Sus scrofa: one gene and its partners. The protein of the gene in region 2 interacts with the protein of the main gene of each other region in a biochemical or structural test. Links are inferred from orthologs where the notes say so. Each region holds a gene or a part of one and is shown on either strand. Other genes may lie near its edges. The genes, in order: UBE2F, RNF7 and UBE2C.

Region 1 (5,982 bases), on a different chromosome or scaffold from region 2:
GAGAATGTGAAACTGGAAGGGAAGAGACGGCCCCTCTATGGCCTGGTTTATAAAGGTGTGTTTGAAGCCAGACCCCAGTTCTGGAGGCATCTGGGAGGAGAAGGCCAGCCCCGCCACTGCCCCTGTCCCAGGCCAAGACCCAGATGGAGGCACTGAGAGCTGGAGGCCAGGCTCCCCGTTCTCTCCTTAGAGTCTCTGAGCATGTCTAGTCTTCTGAATCTTTTGTGCTTAAGCCAGTGAAAGTTCTGTTTCTGAAAGAGCCCTGGTTGAAAACAAATTGCTTCTCCAGGAAGCAGGACGCCAACTCTGCCGCAGTCCTGGCTGATGGCCGCACCTGCTGCCCAAGGGACGTGGTGCACTGGTTGAGGGCAAATCCCAGCTCTGCCATGTCGGGCAGACACGTAACTTCTGAGCTTCCTCATCTGTAAGGTGGAGATAATAAAATACCCGTTTCATGAGGTTGCTGTGAGGATTACAGGACTTCCGAGCCTAGTAAACCCTAAATAAGGCTCGGGTGAAGGCACGAGGCAGCCTCATGAAATGGAGCTAGAAGCGGCTTCATTTGCCCACAGCAGTGAGAGGTGGGCCACTGTGGGCTCAGAACGGTGTGTAGACAATTCTCCTTAGTAAGACAAGCGCTCAAGCCAACCCACGTGTGCCTTCACTCGCTGCCCTGCTTCAAGGTCTTATCTTCTCTCGCCAGGACTCTGGCTACAAACACGCAGCCCTTATCCAGCAATGTGTTTTGACCCGGTTATGTACCAGGTTTGGGGAGGAGGTTAGAAGGGTGGGAAACACAGATGAGGAGGCCTGAGGAGCTGAGCATAGGGAAACGGGCATCAACAGTCTTGAGCACCAGGGAGAGGAGAGCACGGAGGTCCAGCAAAGTCACAGAGGGGCACCTGCACCTTACCACTCGGAGCAGGTGGATCCAAGCATGGGAAAATTTAGGAGGTAGCCCAGTGAAGATGGACGAAGCTGTTCCCAGACAGAAGGAATCCCATGAATTTTGTTCTTAACTGGTCTTCCTGACTCTTGTCTGGCTCCCCTCCCACCAGCTCCCTCAGAGCCAGAAGGCTCTTTTGGAAAAGAAACTTGAAATTGCCACTCCACTGTTTAAAACCTCTCAGTGGGACTTCTGGAAATAAAATTCTAACTCCTTGCCTCTTTCTTCCCCGTCCACGAGGTGAACCTCTTCTCTCAGATGGCTCACTCCTCCAGGAGGCTGGCGACCCCCGCCAGAGCACCTATTAACCAGACACACCTGAACTTGAGAATAATTAGTACTCAGCAAACCAGAAATTAGAACAACTTGAAATGGATTTTTTTAAAGTAAGTACGTCACGGAAGTGTAAGAGATAATAGAAGGAATAAACCCTAAGACAACAGGAAAGAGCCCACCCACTCCACTGCAGGCTCCCCGAGGCTTCCCGGGGTTGGGGGTTGGTGGCTGCAGGTCTAATCGCCCCGCCCCCCTCACTCCTGACACCGCGGACTGTGGGGCGGCCTGGTCCTCTGCACCCTGAGCCCTGGGATGGGCACATAGCGGGCACCCCATCCACCGGGGCAGTCAGTTCGGACCTGGCAGCCCCAGCAGGCCACGCTGCGCGGGGAACCTCTGAGCCGCAGGCCCAGGCCTACCAAACGACCAAATGAATGAAAGCAGGAACGCAGCGCAAAGGAACCCGCGCCGCTGCGGAAAGGACTTGGAGATCCCGCCCCCGGACGCCATTGGCCAATCATCGGAGGCCTTCAGGCTCGTGCCCGCCCCCCAGCCGCGCTCCTTGCCAATGAGAGGGGCCGGATCTGCCGGCTGCCTACCCCGGCCCCGGCCCGCTGGCTCTGCTGTTCGCGTGTCAGTCTCTAAATAAAGTTCTTCGCGGCTTTGAATTTTTTTTTTAAAGCGCCAGCTGCTGTTGCGGCCGCCGCGGGCGAGAGCGGCAGAGTCCCCGCCCCGCTACTTCCGGTCCCGCCGCCCGGAGCCGGTGCTGCTGTGAGGGGCTGCGCTTCGCCGCCGCCGGCCGGCCGGGCATGGTGTTGGGCGCCGGTCCCGCCTCGCCTGTCTCCGGGTGCCCAGGTGAGGAGCGCGCGGCCCTGCGGCGAGCGAGGGGCGGCCGCCGGCCAGAGGACGGCTCGGTTCCCGCGGCGCCGGTGCACCCGGCGGGCGGGCGGCGCCGGGGCCGCCTCAGGCCGCGCCGCTCCTCACGACCGGGCGCCGGGGCCCGAGGGCCGGTGGGCGGGCGCTGCGGGGCGCGGGCCGGGGCGCGGGCCGCGGCGGGGCTGGAGGGCCGGCCCTCCCGGAGCCCCGACCTGTGCCGGGCACACACGGCCTCGCTTGTGGCCGCCGTCGCGGGGGAGCTGCGGCCGCATTGTCGGGGAGGAAGCGCAGCGCCCAGCGGGCCCAAGGTCACCGGCCCGACGTGGCCGGAGGCAGCGGGAGTCGGGCGCGGGCGGGCGGCCTCCCGGCCTCCCGGGGAATCGGGCTAGGCCAGGGGGCGGTGCGGGTGCGGAGGAGCCGGGCTCCCGCCCCGCCAACTTGCGGGCGGCCTCCGGACAACCCGGGGCAGCACGGCTAGGGTGGAGGATCTTGCCGGGGCCCAGAATGGGGGAGGACATCCTGGACCAATCCCTACGGCCCAGTCCCGGATTCTAGACCTGGTTCCGCTGGTGTGTAATCTTGGGTGTGGCCCTCGGCTCCCTGGGTCGCGGTTGCCTCTTCCTTCTGTCCCCGGAGCGGATCGGGCCCGCCCCTCTCTGCCTCCGTCCAGCGCCGGAGTGGGGTCGGGAGGGACTGGAGTGGCCAGAGAAGGCTTCGTGGAGGAGATGGAGGAGCCTGTTATCCTAAAGAAGCAGCATTAGGGGCGGCGAAGGGAGGGAGGGCCTTCCAGACCTGGATATCAGATTGAGCAGAAGCTTCCAGAAATGAGCCGGGGTTGGCGAGGAACACGGAGGAGGCCCACCTCCCTCGTGCAGAGGCCCCTGGCTGGGCAAGGGGGTGAAGGCAGGGGACCGGAATGGTGGGAGCCGTGTTCAGAGAGAGAGACCACGGCCACCTAGGTGGTCTGGACTTGAGGACCTCCACCCCCGACACAGCTGCCACTCAGGAGGCGGCAGGTTTACCGCTAAAATTAAAGGGCTGGGCTCCAAAGGTCACTGGGCAGCCAGCCACCTTGCCCTGGCGTTTTAAAGAGGGAGGGTGGGGTGTGGACTTTTGTGTGTCCCGATCTGGGCCGCTTTGGCTGGAGATGTGGGTTGTCCCCTAGTGACCTGCAGTTCCATCTTTTAAGCTTCGATTGGGACTTGTCCAGGGCAGGAAGAATTGTAAACGAGGAGTTCCCCACCCACTGAGCTGACGGTCACCCGGACCTGATTTGGCCACAACGGGCAGGAGCACTGAGTAAACACTTGAGGATGAGACTAGGAAATAGCACAGCAGAATCTCTGAACAGTCTGAGAGCACGTCCCGCCCAGAGGAAGAACTTAAATGGCCCGATTTCAACTAGTGGAGTTAGAGACTGTGGGTGCTCTTCTGTGTAGTTGATCTGTTGTTACTGAAAATGCTGCCCTCGTCAAAGTGTCATTTGCAGTGAAGGGGAAGCTTAGTTTTGAACCAGTCCTGCAAGGCGGGAAGCATAGTTAAGGAGAGACTTCTGAAGCAAACTGCAGGTGTTCCGTTAATTGACAGCTTGAATAATTATTTTTGTTCAGATCTCTTTGTATAGACTTAATTTAACAGCTGAAGTAGTCCCAGATTAGACCTTTGGTTTGTCCCGAAGTGGCGTGTGTGGGAGAGGGACAGGCGCTGGAGGATAGATGGTCCCCGTGTGTAGATGGCTTAGAATGTTAGGAAAATAAGTCTTGTCTTCCTGAGGAAAACAAAGCACCGGTGTTATTTTCTTCTGTCTTGCACAGCCAGTGCCCAGTGTATTTTATTAAGGGCCATAAACTTGTTGAGAGTTGCAAACCAGCAGTCTGACTCAAAATGGGATTGAGTATGGGGCACACTCTGCCTGCAGCGAAGAGTTCAGGATGGGGTAGTGAGGAGACGCGAATTAAGCAGGGACCTCCAACTGCAGCGACACGGAAGAGTGTCCGGGTGTGAGCCTTTGTGTGTGTGTGTGTGAGTCTTGCCGGGACCCTCTGAGCATCTCCTCCTGTGCAGGTGCTCAAGGAGCTGAGCGTGGACCAGTCGCGTGCCCTGGGACCCGCTTTCCCGCCGGGCCCCGTAGGAGGACTTTCCCGGGCTGCCGCCTGCCGAGCTCTCTCTACCGGTGCTGGGCTTTGTTGCTGGCCGTGTGCGTAGTGCCAGGGTCCGCTAGCGGCTGAAGACCAAGTGGACCTGTGACAGCTGCATCTCTCGGCCTATCATCAGGCGACGCATCCATGTGCTCAGGCGTGGGTGCGAGGCAGGGGCTTGCTGGGGGGGGGGACACACTGCTTGGGATCCAGACCTGCGCGAGGGATCGCGGGCCAGATGGTGCGGGTGGAGGCCGACCAGGAGCGCCCGGCTCCAGACGGTGCTGCGGCCTCTGGTGGCTTGTGGGCTGAGCCCCCACAGGCGTTCCTGGCTCCCCGGCGCCCTCCCTGGTGAGCTTCCTTTGTGAGCCCCTGGTTCCTGCCGCAGGTGAAGCTGAGCTGAGCGTTGGTGGTTTGGTCCTCCGTGTAGGTCCAGCTGAGGAGAGAGCGTGGCAGAGTGGGAGTGAAGAAACTGTCACGTCTCGTCACCTTGACTGAGGGACAGCTGAAGCACGCTGACCTGTACATATTTAAACATGCAGTTTGATCGGACTTTGGTGTGTGTATAGCCTGAAATCACCCCCTTGTTCGGGGCGGAAACATTCCCGTCATCCTCAGAGGGAAACGAGCGGGTCTGCGGTGACCTCTTGTAGCCTCTGAGTGGCCTCCGACAGCCCAGTTCCTGGGCCCCAGGTGTCCCAGGGTCCACACCCATGACAAAGAGTGGGATCTGGGGGAGAAGTCCTCCCCAGATTGGAAATTCTAGGAGCTTGTGAGCGCTCCTGTCAGGTGGAACTGTCTCTTGAAGCACTTAGACCAGGGGTGCATGAGGGGACCAGGCGTGTGTGTGTCTGTGCGTGGGTCCTGTGCAGTTAGTTCAAAAGGCCATATTTAATACGTTGTTTTCATGGTACACATAACAGAAAATGAAGTCCGACCGTCTTTAAGGGCTGGAGGGTACACAGAAGATGGTGTAAAAGCTCTGTGAGGACCTGGGTTAGAGTGGTTAAAAATACCAGTGGGAGTAGGTTACTCTCACGGTTCGCCTTTAAAGATCTTGAACTCAAACCAAGCGTTGTGTGCTCACGTCCGTTTTTCATCCGGAAGTTTTAGATCATTTTCTTTTGAAAATGATCAGAGTGGTATCAGAAGGAAATTATGTTAAAGCCACAAAGGAAAGTATGGGAATGTTGAGCTGGTGACCAATTTTCATCCTCAATCAAAAGAAGTTCCAGAACTTCTCTCCAGCTGGTAAAACAAGCGAGAAGGGCTAGGAGGCCTGCCAGGTGAAGGGTGGCTCACGTAGAGAAGGCAGATTCGGTAGGATGGTTCCCTCTGTAAACGCTGCGGACACCTTCAGTCCTTCCTCCCAAGTGGTCAGTGCATCCCCTGTGTTTGGTCTTTGTGGTCCTTCCCAGTGAGCTTTCGAGAGGGCACCTGAAACTCGGTGGGTGGGAAGCAGCCAGTGAAAAGAATCCAGTGTGGGGCACTAATTATAACTGAATTATGCTGAGATTGCCTAACACTGTAAATACAGCACAACATACGTGAATGTGAAGGTGCTTATTAAGGGTCCAGCCACACCTTTATTAAAGGAAGGAGGAGAGAAAGCGAGGCTCCCTCCTCACCGGAGCCCGTTCCCCCCCGTCTGCGATGGGCCAGGCACTGGGGCCACACCGGGGGTGCCTGGTCCCCACGGCAGGAAGGGCGGACATACCGGTGGGCTGTGCTGGGCCCCCGTAGAAC
Region 2 (5,968 bases):
GTGTCTTTGGATGGCTGAATCAACTAATCTGATGAGGGTCTCAGAGAGGAGTGCTTGGAGATAACATTAGAAAGGTAGGTTGGGGCCATACTGTGGCAGGATTTAAAGGACCAGCTGGGACATTTAGATTTTGTTCTGATGATAATGGAGAGCCATGGAACATTTTGAGCAGGCTAGTGTCAGGTGGAAAGGGGGATCTAAGCAGATTAAACAGGCACTTTAGATTGAATGGGGAGGCCAGACAAGAAGTCAGGACACAATAAGCCAGGAACAGAGTGAAGAGGTTCAGATGAGGCATAAGCATGTACCATTCCTTGTCCCCTTCTTTTTTGGCCACACCCAGGGCATGCAGAAGGGACAGGGATTGAACATACTACAGCTGTAACCTGAGCCAGAGCAGTGACAATGCCAGGTCCTTAACCCACTGAGCCATGAGAGGGAACTCCTACCATTTCTCATTCTTAATCATCCTCTAGCCTTTCATCTGAGTTCCCTCCTTTTCTCTTTCAAACTGCCCAGTTCCCCCCAACTGGGGGCATTTTATCCTCATCTGGTTCTAGCCTTCTTTTTTAAATTAACTATCTGGCATTTATAGCATCTCTAGTCAGATGTGTGGTAGCTTAATGTGAGTAAAATGTGTGTCCTTTATGGTTCATCTGGGTTTGTTTACAGGCATTTTTGTCTGGCTCATAAACTTAGTGGGGTCAACTTTACATCTGCCACCACTACTACTGCTCTGTTCAACCTGACAGCCTTGCAGAGGTTTGCTTTCTCCACCCACTTCCGGGCCTCCGATGCCTCCCATCTTCCCCCAGTTCAAACGTCACCTCTTCCATCAGCATCTAGCCAAATGTGACCCAAATGTATCCACATTTATATTTTCACACATATATGCTTCCTTGCCTCCTCCGCCAGATTTCTGGAGCTTCTAGCCCCCATCCAGACATCAGGAGAGGAGGGGATGAGGCCCAGTAGGAAAAGGTGGGAGGCTCTGAATTCCAAACCCGACACAGCAGGTGTCCACCACTAGGTGGTAGTGGTGATCAGGCATCTTCGTGGGCTCTCCATACCACAGCTTTCTTATTTAAATAGAGATGTTATCTGCTTTGCTTGGGAAAACATAATAATATGACCCCGGGCTAGATGCAGAAGAACCCTGGATTCAAAACAGTTACCTTTAGGGAATAATGGTGTGTCTTTATCTTATTTTTCTGGACCTCAACATTCCTATCAATAAAAGGAGGATGTTGGACTAGATAGAGGTTCTCAGAGTGTGGTCCCCGGGGGTTCCTGGGATCCTTTCAGGGGAAACAAGGTCAAAAGTATTTGCATAACAATATTCACCGCTATTTCTCTTCACTTTCTCCTGTGAGTATACAGTGGAGTTTTATAAAAGCTACAAGATATGTGATATCCTTGTTCTAATGATTACTTGTAATGGGTTTATTGCTTTTCCTTGCGGGGGCGGGGGGTGGGGGCACACCTGTGGCATATGGAAGTTCCCAGGCTAGGGGCTGAATCGGATACAGCTACCAGCCTACACCACAGCTCACAACAACACCGATCCACTGAGCAAGGCCAGGGATTGAACCTGCATTCTCATGTATACTAGATACTAGTCGGGTTCCTCATCGCTTAACCACAACAGGAACTCCTATGGTTATTTTTTAAGTGAATACATTAAAATTTTTTTCGTATTTCTTAAAAAAAAAGTGTGTGTTTGTGTGTACACATATTTTACAAACCGAAAGTTCTTTAATGTTCCAGTGATTCTTAAGTGTAAAGGGGTGCCAAGACCAAAAAGTTTGAGAACGGCTGAACCAGATTTCTAAAAGATAGTCATTCATTCACTCAACAAATAACTACCCCTCCTGAGGCCAGGCATTTTTCACATACCCAGGAGAAGGTGGTGATCAAGTCACGTCCTCGCTCCGATGGCGTTTTCATTTAGGAAGGGAGTACATCAATATGACAACTTGTGAGAGCCAGAAGGGTCACGAAGGCATAAAGCAGAACACCTGCTTCCTGCACCGGCAACCCTCCTGAGCGCGGCGCCCATTCTTGGCCAAAGAGTCGGAGCGGGCCGGGCCCAGGGCGCGGGGGCGGTGACGTCACTGGGACGCGCCAGCCAGTCTCGGGCGGCCTCCGTCGTAGGCCCCACGGTGGCCCGCAGCCTGCGGGCGGCGCTGTGGCCCGGCGAGGGGCCCCAGGGAGCCGCCATAGTCGCCCGCCTTCCGCAACCTAACGTCTCCGCCGCCGGCTTCGCGCCGCCGCCATGGCAGACGTGGAAGACGGCGAGGAGCCCTGCGCCCTGTCCTCTCACTCCGGTAGCTCAGGAACCAAGTCGGGAGGCGACAAGATGTTCTCTCTGAAGAAGTGGAACGCGGTGGCCATGTGGAGCTGGGACGTGGAGTGCGATACGTGCGCCATCTGCAGGGTCCAGGTGATGGGTAAGCGCTGCACTCGAGACCCTGGCTGTGCTGCGGCCTCCGCGGGCCCAGCTCCGGCCCGTGGGACACACCGAGCCTCGGAGAGACTGTTCCTGGAGGTATAGGGGCGGGGTCGCCCTGCCTGGGAGCGAAAGACTGGGGCCACGCCCGTGCTGCTGCTAGTCGGAGGGCTGCGGCCGGCGACGGGGACTGGTAGTCTGGGGAACGAAACAGGTGGAAAGCAGGGCAGTTAAAAAGGTAATTTCAGGTAGTGATGGGTGTGGTCAAGACAATAAAAGTAGGTGAGTTGATGGGAGCTGCGAGGCACCACTTTGGTTTGTGGGCCCAACCTCGCCACCCTTTTCTAAAAGCAAACTGTAGAGGTCACGGTCAAGGCCCTGAGTCAGCGGGTCGTTTTAATGCTTCTTTTCACACACCAGAGTGATGCTCTGGAGTCATCTTCCACAGTAATGACTCTTAGTCTTGTTCCGGAGAGGCGCAGGAAAGAAGTGTCCCTAGCTGTTGCCTTTCGGGATTAGCTACTGTTCTGCTGGCTTTAAAACTTGGATGATTCAAGACTGGTCAGATGGCAGTAGCTTGTCTTGAAGAAGAATGTTAAGCCCTTTATTCAGAAACATAAATTTTAATCTCATTCCTGGCCCTACGCTATCAAAGGATGCCATTTCCTGGAGAAGACAGTGTCCTGATAGGCCTTTGTGGAGAATTTTCTTTTACAAATAAGTCACTTCTTTCTATAAATTTTTTTAAAAATATTGGACCAAGTGAAACCTTTCGGGACAGCTTCATCCTGTTATATTTTATATGGTTTCTGTTCTAAGATCTCAGAACACCTTGAAAAAGAGATGCTGTTTAAATGCATCCTTATTTTTTTTAATAGGGCATTTAAAATCACTGTGAGAGCATCTTAAATGAAACCGAGGTTTCTATAGTTTGAAAGCTTTTACATCTTAAACCGAAAAATCAGAGTTTTGGAGAAAATAACTCAAAAATTGCTCTCAAATCAACTATAAGGAGTTCCCTTCGTGGCGCAGCAGAAATGAATCCGACTAGGAACCAAATCAACTATAAAAGAAAAAATAAAATCTAAAAAAAAAAAAAAAATCACTCTCCCTTCTTGAGGAATGAAAATTCAGAACTGCCAGAATCAAGAGGTTTCTTCATTTACCCTCTCTGTAGTATGTTTTCTTGTTTTTTATTCATAAAATAAGGACTCATTTTAAAAGCAGATTTACAACAATGAGATATCATATATTTATTTTTTTACTTTTAAAAGAATTTTATTTCAGACATGATCCACGTGTTTTGCATATTAGGTTTTAAAAATACCTTGTTTATTGGCCTGCAATACAGCCCCCTTACCCTACTCCTTACTTAAAAACTGAAATCATAATTTCTGCTTTGAGTGGCATTTTTGACTTATCCAAACAATTTTTGTTCTTTTATGAGAAAAAACTTTGTTAAAAATTTTATCCCCTAAGTGATTAAAAAAAGAGGTTTTTCTGAAAGGTTATTTTCTTCTTCTCCCCAGGGAAAAATTTTAAATTTGTAAATAGAAATGCAGAGTTTTAAATAATGGTTGAAATTTGGCAGCAAATAAACCTTCCTGGTCAAAGTATGGGCTCTAAATGACTTAACAGGCACATTAACTTTCTAATTATAGCAAGTATTCCGCTACTGTGGATTAATGTTGCAGATTTACAACAGCTGTACTTTGGATTCAGGAAAGTATTCTGGACTAGACCTCTATATTTTGATTATAAGGTGTTAAAATCCACTTAGTGGTCAGGTGACGGCAGAAGGAAGTTTTATAGACTTGCCAATCCTTAGGGTAGCGTCATTCTTAAAGGTGTTACTGTTATTGTACTCCTTAGAAATGTGCTGTTTTAGATATTAGGAATATCACCAAAGGAAAAATGTTTTCTTTTATCTGAAACTTTAGGAATTTTTATACATTTAGGTCAGTTGTTTTTTTTTTAAATAATTAAATCAAAGCTATAAGCATAATTCAGAGATTTTTAGATTCTACAAAGAGCCTATCTAATCCCACTTCCTTAATATTTGGAATTCAGAATTCATCTCATACATCTAAATGATTTGTTATGACTTCTTTTTTAAAAAAATTTATTGTAGTTGATTAAAAGTGTTTCAGGTGTACAGCAAAGTGATTCAAATACACACACACACACACTTTTTTTTTCAGATTCTTTTCCATTGTAGGTTATTTCAAAATTTTTATGACTTCTTGATCTAAGATTTACCTGTCCACCCATTCTGATGTAGTTAACACTTCCTTGTTTCCACTCTTCCCCACCCCCACCCCCTTCATTCTGAAAGGAGCAAATGACACAGTGAGCAAGCACTGACAAGGAAAAGGGGAATAGGTTTGCTAGTACTGTAGAGGTATAAAGAGCGAGAGCTGGAGTTCCCGTTGTGGCTCAGTGGTTAACGAATCTGACTAGGAACCATGAGGTTCGATCCCTGGCCTTGCTCAATGGGTTAAGGATCCAGTGTTGCTATGAGCTGTGGTGTAGGTCACAGATGCGGCTCGGATCCCGAGTTGCTGTGGCTCTGGTGTAGGCCAGTGGCTGCAGCTCCGATTAGACCCCTAGCCTGGGAACCTCCGTATTACACGGGAGCAACCCTAGAAAAGGTAAAAAAGACCAAAAAAAAAAAAAAACCGAGAGCTGCATGTTAACTGGGACATTTGACATAACCTTTTGGAGCCTTGTTTTCCCAATTTGTAAAAAAGGCAATTGGGGTCATTAACTGTAATTCTCTGATTGCACAGAATCAGGGCCTTGTCTTCACCCTGATATCATGATCCTTATATGTAGTTGTTTGCCTCTCTACCTCCCCATTTGCTGGTGAGAGCAGGGATCCAGACTCGATCATTTTGGTGTCCTGAGGGCATAACTCTTTGCACAGAGGAAATACTCAGTAATTGTGGAATTGAAGAAGTCGTCAGGAGATGTTGGTTGTTTGTAATCCACACTGAAGAGGCCAGGGTGGTGTGGTTTTTTAAGGGAAGACCATGCAGAGTGGTGCAAACAAATGCCTGAGCAAAATCTAATGTAAGAAGAGAAGCAGGCTTCAACTCCACTATTTCTATTTTTACAGAATTATTTTTCTCCAATTTATGTTTAAAACTTATTTTTTCTGTTGGTTTAAACTTCCTTTTACCCAGGTTTGACTCCTTTCAGCTAGTGAATGAATCCATTTAATTGGTTCTTACAATATTCTTTATTACCTCCATCAAGCAATTAATACTGACTGAATTTTGAAAACTTGTAGTATGCCCTTTTGTTCCCACTCCTCATATTTACTCCCAAGTAATTTATTAAAATACTTTACCATTAGGTAAATGCTTTGGCCTCAGACATATTTGTAAAGGGAGCATTTCCTTAAAAACTAAAAAAAGAGAACTAGGTATTTGGGAGTTTTTTTACATTTAATTTTCATATAGCATATAAAGGAGTTCCCACTCTGGCACAGTGGGTTAAGGATCTGGCATTGCCACA
Region 3 (5,715 bases), on a different chromosome or scaffold from region 2:
AGGGGACACACAATTACTCTTGACCCTCACACTGGAAAGAAATGTCTTCCACAGAAGACTTTCGCATGTGATCAACATCCCCCATGTGGTAAGAGCCCTCACAAGCGGGCTCCCTCCCCCTGCAGATGGCGGCCTGGGGCCAGAGCAGTTCTGCAGGCCCCAGGACAGCATAGCCCAGTTACTAGACAGTGTGGTTTATCGTGTTTTCCCTTTTGCCATGAAGTTCAAAACCAAATTATCTTCATTCAAGAGTTCACACGTGGCTTCCTCCTGACTTCCTGTTTCCATGTTTATTTTGCTAGCTCTGTGGCTCTTTCACTGTAAGCCACCCCATGGCCCTTTTTTAAAGAGGTGACAGCCAAAAATAAGTCAGTAATCCCCACTCTCCGGCCCATAAATTAGTCTCTACTTGAAAGAAAAATTATCTCAAGAAACTATTCCCCAGACAGCCTCTCCCTTCTTGCTCTCCCTTGCTAAATTACAAGCTATGACTCCACTCCTCCCTTCTAGCCCTTACCTTAAGCAGACGTTTAATAAAGTGTTAATTGAGTTGGAATGAAACGAATCATAGGCAGTGACCACTCTCCTTTGTTCCTGCCCCAGGCCTACCTCCTCATTGAGGAGGACATCCGGGACCTCGCTGCCAGCGATGACTACAGGTAAAACCAGCGGTCTGTCCCCTACCCTTCCCCCTGCCTCACAGTAGCCCCTGGGATGAGCCTGGACCTACATCTTCCCTTGCTCCAACTCTCCTCTTCAATGTCTGTCCCAGAGGATGCCTGGACCTGAAGTTAGAGGAGCTGAAGTCCTTTGTCCTACCCTCCTGGATGGTTGAGAAGATGCGAAAGTACATGGAGACACTACGGACAGAGAACGAGCACCGCGCTGTTGAAGCACCTCCACAGACCTGAAGCCAGGTCCCCTGGCTACACTTGGCAGCCCTCCTTTAAGGCCCTCTTACCCACATGGCTGAGGTCACTGCTGGGACTGCTTCTAGATGGATCTCAGCAGCATTAAGCTATGCCTGGGCTAGTTTGTAGTGACTCACTGCAGAGCACCCCCAGACTGGCATGTGGTTCTATATTTGTAAAGTTTTTGGGATAAGAAGCAATTAAACAGTTTGTAATAAACACAGATGGTGAGCCTGCTGTGAAGTCTGCCTCTGGGGGCTGACAAAATATCAAGGGCTCTCCCTAGAGGAAGTGGGTGTAGGGAATAAAGGCCCAAGCACCCCTCCCCCATCCCAGGAAGCCCAGTGGCCTGTGCGTATCTGCTCCGTGAGAAACTGGGAACAGCCTGTACCTTGCTGCCAGCCTTTCCTGTCCCTGTTTATCTCCTCACCCAACTAAGGCATGGGAGTAGCAGAATGTGACGGCTGGGATCATGGACATTTGATGACAAACCAGCAGGAAAATGTAAGGCGGCTTTTATTACCCCCGTTTTAAGGTTAAAACACGAAATTAAGTGCCTAGGGTAGCACAGGAAGCCGTTGGAGAGGCCACCGTTGAACCTGTTTTCCAGTAGGGGGTCTCTGGCTCTGGCCCTCGGCCACTAGTTTTTACCCTCGCCTGACGGTTCAGACCCTTAAGGCCCTAACCAAAGTGCCCAGGACATTAATAACAAGTGGAGGAGCTGGGGTATCCGGTTTGGGGGATAAGTACCAGGGCCCCGAAATCGGAGACCCTCCCTTCTGCGAGCAGGGAGTCCTAAGCCGGCGTGCGGTAGTAGCCAAGGGATTCATCCCACGTGGATGTCTTCTAGGCCATTTAATGGTCGGCGTTTTCCAAAGGCCACCAATCCACTACAGATTCGTTAGTTAATGACAGCCTCTCTTACCAATCGCCCATCTGAAGAGGGATCCAGCCGCCCAATAGTGGTGCGCTGGTGGGTGGATGCAGCAGTGACAGAGCGCCCCATTGGCTGGATTAAACCCAAGCGAGCCACTGATTGGCCGGCACCTCCGGAGGGTTACAATTCAAACGCGGGCGGGCGGGACCGCGGCCCTGCAGTTGCAGCCGTGGTCTCCGGATACCCTGAGATCCTGTCTCCCTCCCAGCGCTGCCCAGATGGCTTCCCAGAACCGCGACCCAGCCGCCGCCAGTTTCGCGGCCGCCCGTAAAGGAGCCGAGCCCAGCGGGGGTGCCGCTCGGGGCCCCGTGGGCAAGAGGTGAGTGGTGCCGAGGGAACACTTGCCGGGCCTGGCACGCCCTAGGCATTTGAAGCCCAGAGCAAAGACTTCCGGGGACCCCCACATTCTCCTGGAGCAGCTGAGGTATGAGAGGTAGAGGTACACGCCAGGAGATCGCCTACTTCTGAAGGACGACAGAAGGGGTAGGGATGCTGCCAGGATCCTCCGTGGATGAGCCAAGATGAAGATGCCCTGGGGACCCTCTGTGGCTTGGCTGGAGGGCGGCGGGGAAGGGGGCTAGAAGGTGAGAAATTGAGATCCTGCACAGAGAGAGACGCCAGAGAAGCAGAATTAGGGGTTAAGAATAAGCCAGAGCTCTCCTTCCGGGAGCCTGGCATTAGGAAGGGTGTGGACTCACTAAGACCCCCCTGTGGAAATGGGGGTGACCATGCCCACAGCTAAGTCCGACCTCAGGGTAGAGGGAAACCTCCGTGACAGCTGCTCCAGAGAGATTGGGATGGGAAGAGATGCACCTCCTGGAGCCCTGGACTCTCAGATGACCCCCAGATGCTCTTTTCACAGGCTACAGCAGGAACTGATGACCCTCATGGTAAGTGACTGGTGCCCGGATACCCAACCAGTTGGTCTCCCCTCCCACCTCCCAGTCACTTATCAGTAGCCTCCTTTCCTAGCTCCGGCTCTTTGATAGGCATGGGGTAAAAAGATGAGTCCAGCTTGCTCTCCTCTGGGAAGAAGTTAACACACCCCACCTACACATCTTCCCCCCAGGCATCTTTACTCCCAGTCCCATCTTGCCACAAAGAAGTTATCCTTAAAGTACAGCTCTCTTACGAGGCCTTCCCTCTGTCCTTCCTGGCTCTACTTCCCTGTCCTAAAATTTACCTACACCCAACTCTTCATCCTAAATATTTCTAATCCCATCCTACCTTGGAATGCTTCCTTCGGGCCAGTCTTTTCTACATTAACCCTGGATATTCAACTCAAATCCTTCAGTGCCCACGCTGTTTATCTTCCCAGCCTGTGAATAGTCTCTGGGCTTTGTGTCCAACCAGCACTCAATGGCATGTCAAATTGAATTCCCAGCAACCAGCAAAATTGTGGATACAAAGCTGCCTTCTTCTTCCCCCACACAACCCCTCCCTCTTAGGCTGGTGATAAACCTAATCCCAGTCCTCCCGGGGGGCACATTCAGCCCCCAGGATCTCCCCACTTCCTCAGAAGAGCCTATCAATCAATTTGGCCTGGTTGCTCCATTCTGGGTCCAGATGTGATGAGGTTAAGGGGCAGGGGCTCCCTCACCCACACCCTCCCCTGCAAGAGCACACTCACTCTTCAGCCCAGCAAGTGTTGTGTTTCTTCCCCAGATGTCTGGCGACAAAGGAATTTCTGCCTTCCCTGAGTCAGACAACCTTTTCAAATGGGTGGGGACCATCCATGGAGCAGCCGGCACAGTAAGTGTAGGGGTCGGAGTAGGTGAGGGTGACTCTGCAGAGTCTGGGGAGAGGTGGGAGGTGAAATCCAGGTGCCAGTTCTGCGTTGAGTCTTCTCACCTGGTGGGACACTCCCCTGTGTCTTCCTGGAGCCCTGAGCCTGTGGCCCTGCTCTCCATCCGCGCAGTAAGGCGGGGTCTCCATCTTAGCTACTTCCAGGGGCCAGACGGCAAGGAAAAGAATGAAGGGCAATTGAGGGTTTAGGCCAGTGGGCCCTCGCCCAAAGGGTCGCAATGTCCCACCAGCTAGGCGGGAAGGCACCACCAGTTTAATGCTTTGTCTTCTGCCGAGTCCCAGACAAACTCGGGGGTCTTGACAAGCCCCTTACGTGGGGCCTGAGCTGGAACTGAGGCTCAGGCAAAGAGGCTTACTCCCCAGTCTCTCTCTCTCCAGGTATATGAAGACCTGAGGTATAAGCTCTCTCTGGAGTTCCCCAGCGGCTACCCTTACAACGCGCCCACAGTGAAGTTCCTCACGCCCTGCTACCACCCCAACGTGGACACCCAAGGAAACATCTGCCTGGACATCCTGAAAGACAAGTGGTCCGCCCTGTATGACGTCAGGACCATCCTGCTCTCCATCCAGAGCCTGCTCGGAGGTGACTGCGGAGACGGCCTCTCCCCCCCAACCTGGGAGCCTGTTCCCGGGTTGGACAGCCTCTTCTAGCCTCTTCTACCCCGACCTGACCTTGCTCTTTGTCTCCATCCACAGAACCCAACATCGATAGCCCTCTGAACACACATGCCGCCGAGCTCTGGAAAAACCCCACAGGTGGGTCCTTCATCCTTCTCAGGCACCGAGCCATCCCTCCCCAACCATCAAAGGCTCCCCCCAGCTACTGAAGGATTCCAGTGACTTGGGAATGTGTCTGGATGACTGGGGGGTGGGGGGGGTTCAACCAGGTAACCCAGTTCCACCTCTGCCTTGGTGTTTCTGGTTTGCCTGTTTGCTATAAAATCAGAATTTGTCGCATTCATGTAGGTTGAGGGGCTTTTTCAGTAGAAGGCAAAGCTTTGTGCGAACAACTTGCTTGCTGAGGGCCCCAAGTCTCCTCCCCAGCTGGGTGGGCAGCCGGGGGACAGTTCTGTTGGGCTGGGAAACCCTTCCCCAACCCCCCAAACTCCTCCCACAGCTGTATCCTTGCTGCCCTCTTGCCAACCTTAACCCTTGTGCCCATGGCTTACTGAGACCTCCTCGTTCTCTTCCAGCCTTTAAGAAGTACCTGCAGGAAACCTACTCCAAGCAGGTCTCCAGCCAGGAGCCCTGACCCAGGCTGTCCAGCTCTCTCCCTGTGTTGTCTTTTTTTATTATTTTTCCTTAGATGGTCTGTCCTTTCCTTGATTTCTGTACAGGACTCTGTACCTTATCTGTGTATACCTTATCTGTGCTGTCATTTTTGTTTCTGTTTTTTTAAATTAAGTGTCCGGCTAAGCCCTTGTGATGAATATATTAAATAAATACATTTGGGGGTTTTTAAACAAGTTATGTCCCCTAGTCACCCTAGGGTTGGAAGTGCTCAGGCTCTGCAGAGGTCGGGCTTAGGGTCTGGGTTCTGGCCCTGCTCCTCTACCCAGGGTGTAGGAGCAGCTGAGAGGCTGGAGGGCTGAGCAGTGGGGTCATAGAATTCGTCCCCTGTGACTTTGGTTATTTTATGACTCTGCATCTGTTTCCTCATCTGTAAGATGGGCGTCGCAAAATGCCGATTTCTATGGAGGGGGGACACCAGGAGGATTGGTTAATTTAGGGACAGTCCCAGTTGCAGATGAGGCTGAACCAGACCTTCAGCTGAAACAGCTAGAGCTGTAGAGTGTGTGAGTGTATGTGTGGGAGGGAAGGATTAGCCACCTAATTTCCGGCAGTAGGTGTTTTGGTCCTTGAGAAGGAGAAGGGAAAAAAGGGGGGTTCGGTGGTTTAAGGATCCGGCATTGCCACCGCTGTTGTTCTGGTTATTGCTGTGGCACAGGTTCAAGTCCCGGACAGGGAATTTCTGCATGGCCAAAAAAAAAAAGACGCGGGATAACCCTACAGCAGGCCCAGGGTCTGGGGAGACAGCCAGGGAAAGCCCTCAGGACTGCA

What was found.
Region 1: the proteins of RNF7 (region 2) and UBE2F form a complex in vitro, tested with the Homo sapiens proteins (10 studies listed by BioGRID, with this or other methods). The link is inferred for Sus scrofa from reciprocal best matches to the Homo sapiens genes RNF7 and UBE2F.
Region 3: the proteins of RNF7 (region 2) and UBE2C form a complex in vitro, tested with the Homo sapiens proteins (4 studies listed by BioGRID). The link is inferred for Sus scrofa from reciprocal best matches to the Homo sapiens genes RNF7 and UBE2C.

The regions. Positions count from the first base shown.
Region 1 is NC_010457.5:137,565,323-137,571,304, forward strand, and holds the start of UBE2F (NEDD8-conjugating enzyme UBE2F), read left to right. Parts: upstream 1-1,931; 5' UTR 1,932-2,077; intron 2,078-2,288; exon of another isoform or gene 2,289-2,667; intron 2,668-5,982. UniProt on the Homo sapiens protein: Accepts the ubiquitin-like protein NEDD8 from the UBA3-NAE1 E1 complex and catalyzes its covalent attachment to other proteins. Together with the E3 ubiquitin ligase RNF7/RBX2, specifically neddylates cullin-5 (CUL5).
Region 2 is NC_010455.5:82,546,345-82,552,312, forward strand, and holds the start of RNF7 (RING-box protein 2), read left to right. Parts: upstream 1-2,130; 5' UTR 2,131-2,275; coding exon 2,276-2,450; intron 2,451-5,968. UniProt on the Homo sapiens protein: Catalytic component of multiple cullin-5-RING E3 ubiquitin-protein ligase complexes (ECS complexes), which mediate the ubiquitination and subsequent proteasomal degradation of target proteins.
Region 3 is NC_010459.5:48,016,423-48,022,137, forward strand, and holds UBE2C (ubiquitin-conjugating enzyme E2 C), read left to right. Parts: upstream 1-1,980; 5' UTR 1,981-2,066; coding exon 2,067-2,167; intron 2,168-2,710; coding exon 2,711-2,738; intron 2,739-3,513; coding exon 3,514-3,600; intron 3,601-4,032; coding exon 4,033-4,237; intron 4,238-4,350; coding exon 4,351-4,410; intron 4,411-4,847; coding exon 4,848-4,906; 3' UTR 4,907-5,120; downstream 5,121-5,715. Other genes in the region: DNTTIP1 (deoxynucleotidyltransferase terminal-interacting protein 1), read left to right, coding at 604-659, 773-911. UniProt on the Homo sapiens protein: Accepts ubiquitin from the E1 complex and catalyzes its covalent attachment to other proteins. In vitro catalyzes 'Lys-11'- and 'Lys-48'-linked polyubiquitination.